Tribolium castaneum: one gene and its partner. Each later gene encodes a partner of the first gene's protein in a complex. Links are inferred from orthologs where the notes say so. Each region holds a gene or a part of one and is shown in the gene's direction. Other genes may lie near its edges.

Evidence for each region.
Region 2: DNA polymerase epsilon subunit 3 (region 1) and PolE2 share a complex: the UniProt entries of both Homo sapiens proteins name them as parts of the DNA polymerase epsilon complex. The link is inferred for Tribolium castaneum from reciprocal best matches to the Homo sapiens genes POLE3 and POLE2.

Annotation. Positions count from the first base shown.
Region 1 is NC_087394.1:1,508,943-1,511,648, reverse strand, and holds DNA polymerase epsilon subunit 3, read left to right. Parts: upstream 1-1,651; 5' UTR 1,652-1,723; coding exon 1,724-1,994; intron 1,995-2,042; coding exon 2,043-2,152; 3' UTR 2,153-2,168; downstream 2,169-2,706. Other genes in the region: centrosome-associated protein 350-like, read right to left, coding at 1-1,302; E3 ubiquitin-protein ligase LRSAM1, read right to left, coding at 2,285-2,404, 2,456-2,679. UniProt on the Homo sapiens protein: Accessory component of the DNA polymerase epsilon complex. Participates in DNA repair and in chromosomal DNA replication.
Region 2 is NC_087396.1:20,064,880-20,069,461, reverse strand, and holds PolE2 (DNA polymerase epsilon subunit 2), read left to right. Parts: upstream 1-1,580; 5' UTR 1,581-1,714; coding exon 1,715-1,782; intron 1,783-1,828; coding exon 1,829-1,991; intron 1,992-2,039; coding exon 2,040-2,431; intron 2,432-2,477; coding exon 2,478-2,739; intron 2,740-2,786; coding exon 2,787-3,022; intron 3,023-3,067; coding exon 3,068-3,251; intron 3,252-3,359; coding exon 3,360-3,536; intron 3,537-3,718; coding exon 3,719-3,796; 3' UTR 3,797-3,983; downstream 3,984-4,582. UniProt on the Homo sapiens protein: Accessory component of the DNA polymerase epsilon complex. Participates in DNA repair and in chromosomal DNA replication.

The DNA of each region.
Region 1 (2,706 bases):
AAACGACTGTTTTTCTTGCGAAAAATTCGAATCCGATAAATAGTTTTTTTCACTAGCTGATTTAATCGTAACCGTGTTCATTTTCCCATTGGCAAGACTCAAATTACGAACCGAAAGCGAAACATTTGGTTGTTTCATCGTCAAAGATTCGGGAACCGAATCCGAATCAGAGAAATTTTTCGATACTTTTTTTTCAGTTAGGAGCGATTTAAATGAAACACTTTCTTTGTGAAAATCCGAACTGTAACTATCGTCACTTTTCTGCAACTTGTAGTTTTTCAATTTATCGAAATCGAGCTTTAGACTTTCACTCGAAATGTCGGGAATATTTTTCGAAGTATCCGACTCACTACCACTATCACAATTATTGAACAAATTTTTCGACACTTCTCTCAATTCTAAATTTTCCACAGGCTTCAAGTCGAGACATTTGTGCGAAACAAACGATCTCAACTCACTTTTGGCACTTTTAATCAACAGTTCTTTAATTTCTTCCCTCGATTTTGTTTCCAGGGGCGGAGTCCCGGAATTCTGCACCCCAATGTCGATAAAATTCCGGGGCGAATTCACAGCAAACTGCAATTTTCTCTTAACTGTGTTTATAAAATTGTACGGATACGCCGCACAAGGGGGCTCCAGCCAGGGCGCCCCCTTGTCGCACGTTTGCGTCTCTTTCGCCTCAGACGACGTTTTCGCCAATTTCTGGGGCTCCCGGGCCTTGGCCCTCGAAATTCTCTCGCTTTTTTGCGTCTTTTCGGAGCCCTCAGAAACTTTTTGTGCGGGCGACTTCGAGCGGTCGATTTTCGGGGGGCCCCCCTTGTCCTGTGACTTCGGGCGGTTGGTTCGGACAAGGGGGCCCCCTTTCTCCCGCGCCTTCGAGCGGTCGATCCGGACAGGGGGCTCGCCCTTGTCCCGCGATTTCGAGCGTTCGCGCTTCAACTGCACGTTTTTTGTCACCAGCTCGAGTGTTTTCTGGTGTAATTCTTTCAGTTTTTGCTTTTTCAGATCGAGTTTATTGTCAGTGGTGTTGATTTGGGCCCGCAATTGTTCGGCGCGTTTTTCCCGCTGTTTTTTGATGTAGTTACGCGCCTCGGTGACGTCATAACTGCGGGGCTTTTTCTCGGGATCGGGGGGCGCCTTTTTTTTAACGGTTTGGGTATCAGGGGCTGGCTTGTGGGTGGGGGGCTCAGGGGGCTGGGTCCCAAGACTTATGAGCTTCTCTAGCTCGGTTTTGAGCTGTTCGATCTCTTTTTTTGTGTTTTTTACACGAGTGCTGACATTTTCCACTTGGCTTATGGACATTTCTGAACCCCCTTTTTTTAGCGAATTACGACTGGAAATTGATTAGACTGACGTACAATTCACGAATTGACCCACATTTGTGTTAATTTAGGTGAGAAAATGCAAAATTAACTCACCTTTTTCACATATTTTCAAAACGTCAACCGTTTATAACATAACCTCAATAACCAAGGCCAACAAGGGTGAATAGTTCAAGGCCCCCCACCAAAACTGCAAAAAACAGCCCCTAAAATAAACCACCCCATTCGTCACGAGCCCCCCAAGCTTAATTAAACAAAAAACACAAATTTATAATTATTAGGTGACCAATAATAAACAAATTAATGATTTTTTAATCAAAATTCAAACATGGCGGTTGGCATTGCGCATGCGCGTTTTTTGTTTTTGGTGGGAAAAGTAATTTTGTGAATTTTGTGACCAAATGGCCGAAAAACTGGAAGATTTGAATTTGCCGAACATGACGGTGCAAAAGATAATTAAAGACGCATTGCCTGAACACGTCAGTGTTGGTAAAGACGCCCGTTCGGCCCTGTCAAGGGCCGCTTCAATTTTTGTCCTGTACATAACCTCACAAGCCACCAAAGAGGCGCAAAAAGTGAACAGAAAGACTCTTCTGGGTCAAGACATTCTAACAGCGTTAGAAGAGCTCGAGTTTGACGAATTCGTGGAGCCCTTAAGTGTGATGCTGAGAGGTTAGTTTTTTTTTGAGGTTATGTTCACGTTTCAAAAACCGACTTCAGATTTCAAAGAAGCGAAGCAGAAGAAGAAAGTGAAGAAGGGGGCCGACGTTGAAATGGCGGAAGACAACGACGAGGAGGCCGTGGAAGAGGAAGAAACGGGAGAATCGTAATAAAAAATAAATTTTTTGTGATAGTTTTTTATTCATGAGAAAAAGTAACAACTGACTAGATTAAGGCCACAAATCGTGCAGAATTCACACTTTAGCAACACTGAGCAAAAAAAGTGACGGCAGTTGAACGAACTATGAAATTATTCTAATTTTGCGTTCGATTGAAGTCCTGCACATTGGACAGTCGTTCAAGGTCACAGGACACTGGGAACAGCAACAGAAGTGTCCACATGGCACGAAAATCACCTCACACTGCAAAAAAAAAACACCAAAATTCGCCTTAATTTGAGATAAACAACATACAGTTGAGTCCAAACAAATGACGCATTCAGTCCCCAAATTTGCGACATTTTCGAGTGGTGGCGCACTTGCCTCTTCGATTGGCAGCACTGGAGCTGAGGGGGCCGTATCGGTCGGTATTTGCTCCTTTCGGTACATTTGGAATGCGTCTAAAATGTGGACCCGGTCCGATTTATTCACAATTCCCACTTCTTTGAGGTCGCTTTCTGTGATTTTTGCAACGTTGCCTGCAAATTGGTTAAAAATCGGGCCAA
Region 2 (4,582 bases), on another chromosome or scaffold:
GCCGGTCATTCCCGAAAATGACAAGCTTCACAAAAATATAGAGTATGTAATAGTTATCATAAATAAATAAAAGGAAAGAAATATGAGACTTGAATGAAAATAGTAACGCTACGAACAAGCAAAAATACATAATTTTCAATAAAAACAAAAAGGATTTTAAGCAAATTTTGGTCCAGGATTCTGGAATTCACAATCATTCAAGTTATCAAAAAATTCGAGATATCGCAGTTTCGACATAAACATTCTTATGCAAAATAAGGGAAATATGGAAAGCCAGGATTTGTCTGGATAAGAGGGTTCTACTGGAGATTTCATTTAATTAAACACGAAGTTAAATATAAGGTTAATAAAAAGCACTTTCATAAAAATGTAGGTATATTTTCTTTACTTAAAATTCATTGTAGATATAAAAAATTCCAGTTAAAAATTGATACTCCCTAAAAGATTACCATAATTCAGAAGCCGCTACTTTATTTACAAAACAATCTTTAAAACCGCGAATTACAATTGTGGACTGCAACCACGTTTCTCCATTTTCTGAACTTTTGTCTTTTTCATTAAAATTACGTTCACATTTTCCTGGACCTTCCACATCGCAAGAATCTTTAAATACTTCCAATTTATCACAGCATGAAAACACTTGAGAATTTGAATTAAAATTAATAACAGTTTGCTTTATCTTATTAGAAACTAATAAAGGTTTAGATGGTATAAATATATTGTCATTACACACGTTACTTAAATTACTTTGAGACGCTTCAACTTTCAAAAATATGTATGTGTTACAACAAGGTAATGAATTTTCTACTAGACTCATCCAGACCTCCTCTAAAAATATATTCCTGGCAAAAATTGAAAACTTTAGCGTTGAAAATACAGTACAACAAAGCGGTTTTACCTTAATATCCTGGACTGCCTTCTGCTATTTTCCATCACATGATTCCCCTCAACATGGCCTAAAGCGAGCGACGATGCCTTCACTGTAAAGACTTCCTTAGGACATACAGGCGTCACGCCAATTACAAAAATAACTTCTTTCAAACTATTCCCCAAGTCAGTAAAACACTTGACTATGTTTAAGGCGATATTTTCAACAGCATCATACGCTGTTGAAACAGTCTGGTAATGTTTATTTAGCGTAAAATTCGTCTTCTTCTCTTCCTCTCCGTCTTCAATACTTTTGCGTTTCTTCTTCACGATGCTCTTGAGCCAAGCATAGGGATAAGGGATTTGGGTCCTTTGATACAACAGGTTTTTCATAACTTCATTTACTAAAGAGGCACAAGAGGCCGGCGTCAGAATATAATCACCAACTGATATATTTATGGTTGAGGAATTCGGTAAAGCACACATAATTATTGTTAAAATAATAAATTAAACGAAACTTTAAAAACACAATAAAATAACCAAACTTTTGGAACGTCAAAGCAATGCCAACTTTGAAAGCATAAAATCGAAAAACGCTCGATAAAATTCAAAACGTTTGGCTAAAAATAATTACATAAGTTTTAAAATTCGTCTTCAAGCTTTTTTTTGCATTATAATATAACAAATAATTTACCCATAGCAATAACTGTAATTTTTCTTTCCCTCTTACAATTTTTCTGCAATACGGGTTTTCCAACGCCAACCAGAATTTGGGCGGGAAATAATTTTAGGTTATTTATTCTAAAAAATTCACAATTTACAAATACTCAAAGCAGAAATCAAAGAAATGGACGTTGAACAAGTCAAAAAGAAGTTGCACACGGCGTTAAAATTCGGCGGATTTAATATTCGGAGGTGTGTTTTTATTATAAATTGGACTACTTATTTATTGTAATTTCAGGGAGTTTTGTGGCAAAATTGTAGCCAAATTTCTCAGAGAAGGTATCGATTTAGAAAACAAACACCATTTTGATAATTGTGTTAAAAATCTGTGCTCCAGTTTAGAAAACCAGTGCCTTCTGGGGCACAGTATCGAAAAGGAGCACATAGACAGGGCTTTGGAGGTTTTTAAATAAAATTTGTTAAAACAGTGGCTAGACGAATGATTTTAGGTTTGCCTGAAGTCTGGTTACGACAGGAATGAAACAATTTTCAGTGTTATAAACGCTTTCGATTTTCCAAAAGTTTCATACAATCTTGATAGAAAACAGTATTATTTAACCGAAAATAAGCCCCGACTTTTGTCTTCTGCGGATTCCAAGGCACAGCTTTTTGCCGACAGATATGCCACGATTTTACACAGGACCAAAAGAAATTTTATACAGAAAGCAACAGAAAACACGAATATTAAATTAGAATTGCAAACTGTTGATTATTTGTTAACACTTTCGAATGTCTCACTGAACCATACTCTGGTATTAGGCTCGTTATTGCAAGTGTCTGAAGGCAAATATTACTTAGAGGACCCCACGGGAATCGTCCAACTGGACTTAAGCCACGCTGTGTAAGCCCCCACTTATTTTTTCGCCTCATTTACTCTTTATTTTTAGTTACTATGGGGGCTTATTTGCCGAAAACTGTTTTGTGTTAGTTAACGGACATTACGAAGACAAGATAATCAAAGTCTCCACGTTAATTCTACCCCCAGGGGAGGAATACGCCAATTCGCGCCCCTTTTTCAACACGATAAATTATTTCGGGGGCCCATCTCCAACACCCCTCAAAGACTCCGTAAAATTACGCGATCACTTACAACGAAATCGCGGCGCTTCGTTCATGTTTTTCTCAAATGTTTGGCTTGACCACCCTAGTGTAATAACGATCAAAAAAAAATCCACAAAACTTAATTCAAATTTTAGATTTTTGAAAAACTTGAATTGCTGTTTGAGGGTTTCAACCCCAGCCCGCCTGCGGCGTTCGTTTTCATGGGGAATTTCATGTCAGAGTCTTGCAGCAGCAATAAGATGGACACTTTGAGGAAACTTTTCAAACAACTAGCTGAATTAATTAACAAATACGAGAATTTGGCCACTGTTACGAATTTTATTTTCGTGCCGGGTTTGGAGGATCCATGCACTTCATACGTCGTGCCAAGGTGAAAAATATTAATTTGCTTTTTTTATTATTTAATGTGTTTTAGACTGCCGATTCCGTCATGCATAACTGAAGATATGACGAAAATGGTGAAAAAGGCAGTTTTTACGTCTAATCCGTGCCGTTTGCAATATTGCAATAAGGAAATTACGATTTTTAGGGCCGATGTTCTCCCAAAATTGCTACAAGCGTCATTGCATAAACCGAAAAAGAGCGAATTGTCCGAAAATGTAAAAATAACTGTGATTTGAAATTAAGTTGGCAAATCTGTGTTACCAACTCATTTTCAATATCTGAGGTCAAACTGATCGGAATTTTAATTGAGGCATTTGTTACAGCTGACCAGGACTATAATAAGTCAAGGGCATTTGTCGCCCTTGCCCTTAAACGCTTTGACAGTTCATTGGGATTTTGATTACACTCTAAGTTTAAATCCTCTCCCTGATTTAGTAGTGATAGGAGACAAGGCCGAACCTTACGAAGGGAAATACAAAGGGTGCCAACTTATAAACCCTGTAAGTTGAATTTTGAAATTAAGTTGGCTACATTAACTAGTGTTTAAAAAAATGTTTGTAAAGTAATTTTGCGTCATTTTAAAATGTTAATTGAATGTAATAATTATATGTACGTGTGAGGAGAGACATACGCTCATGCAATTTTCAGAGCACACTTGACCACGTTTAAAAAAATGTTTCAGGGTTCGTTTTGTGAGAGCGGGTTCCAGTTCAAGGCGTACAATCCTGCAACAGACAAAATCGAGGAATGTCTACTGTGAAAGCCTTAAAATAGCATATAAATTTATTAGTTAGGTCTCAAACATAATCTAGATTGTACACTTGAAAATTACTTGTACACTATTTACATTCACATTAAAATAGTCGCCTCGGCGATAAATGAATTAAATAACCTATTGTAATACCGCCTAAATCAATACGTATTAAAGAATTTCAATTTGACTTGAATCAGAAAATATCACACTGTCAAACATAAATAATCAAAAAAAGTTTAGCTTTCAGAAAAATACACATTATATACAACAGTACACAACTGTTACCAGTTTTCAACAAACGATAAATATCACATAGTACTAGGTTTGTTTGTTACAAAACGGACACAGTTGATCGTTAGTGGCACGATACAATTTTCGAGCGCTATGAATGCCCTAAAACAAACGGAATCAGAACCAAAAATTCCAAAAAATTGTGAAACTAACGTTCTTTTTCGTATCTCCGGCATGCTTCTGCTCGTTCTTTAGCGTCGAAATACCACAACGTTATTGCATATCTTGTGTCGTAGGCGGGTTGGACTTCATGTGGATTTCTCCGGTCAGACCAGAAAAATAAAAGACGGTCGAAAATTGGCTCTATATCAGCTACCTACAACCAAAAATCACATTTAAAAAAACTTAATTTACTAATTATTTCTTTTAGCACCTTATCACCTAACCATCCCTCTGGGAAAATTCGTAATAAACCCCCGTTTTCCCTAACATTCCAATTTAAATTGAGGTAGTAAATGGCTGTTATACAACGACCGTCTTGGTTTGGGTTGTCCACGTGTT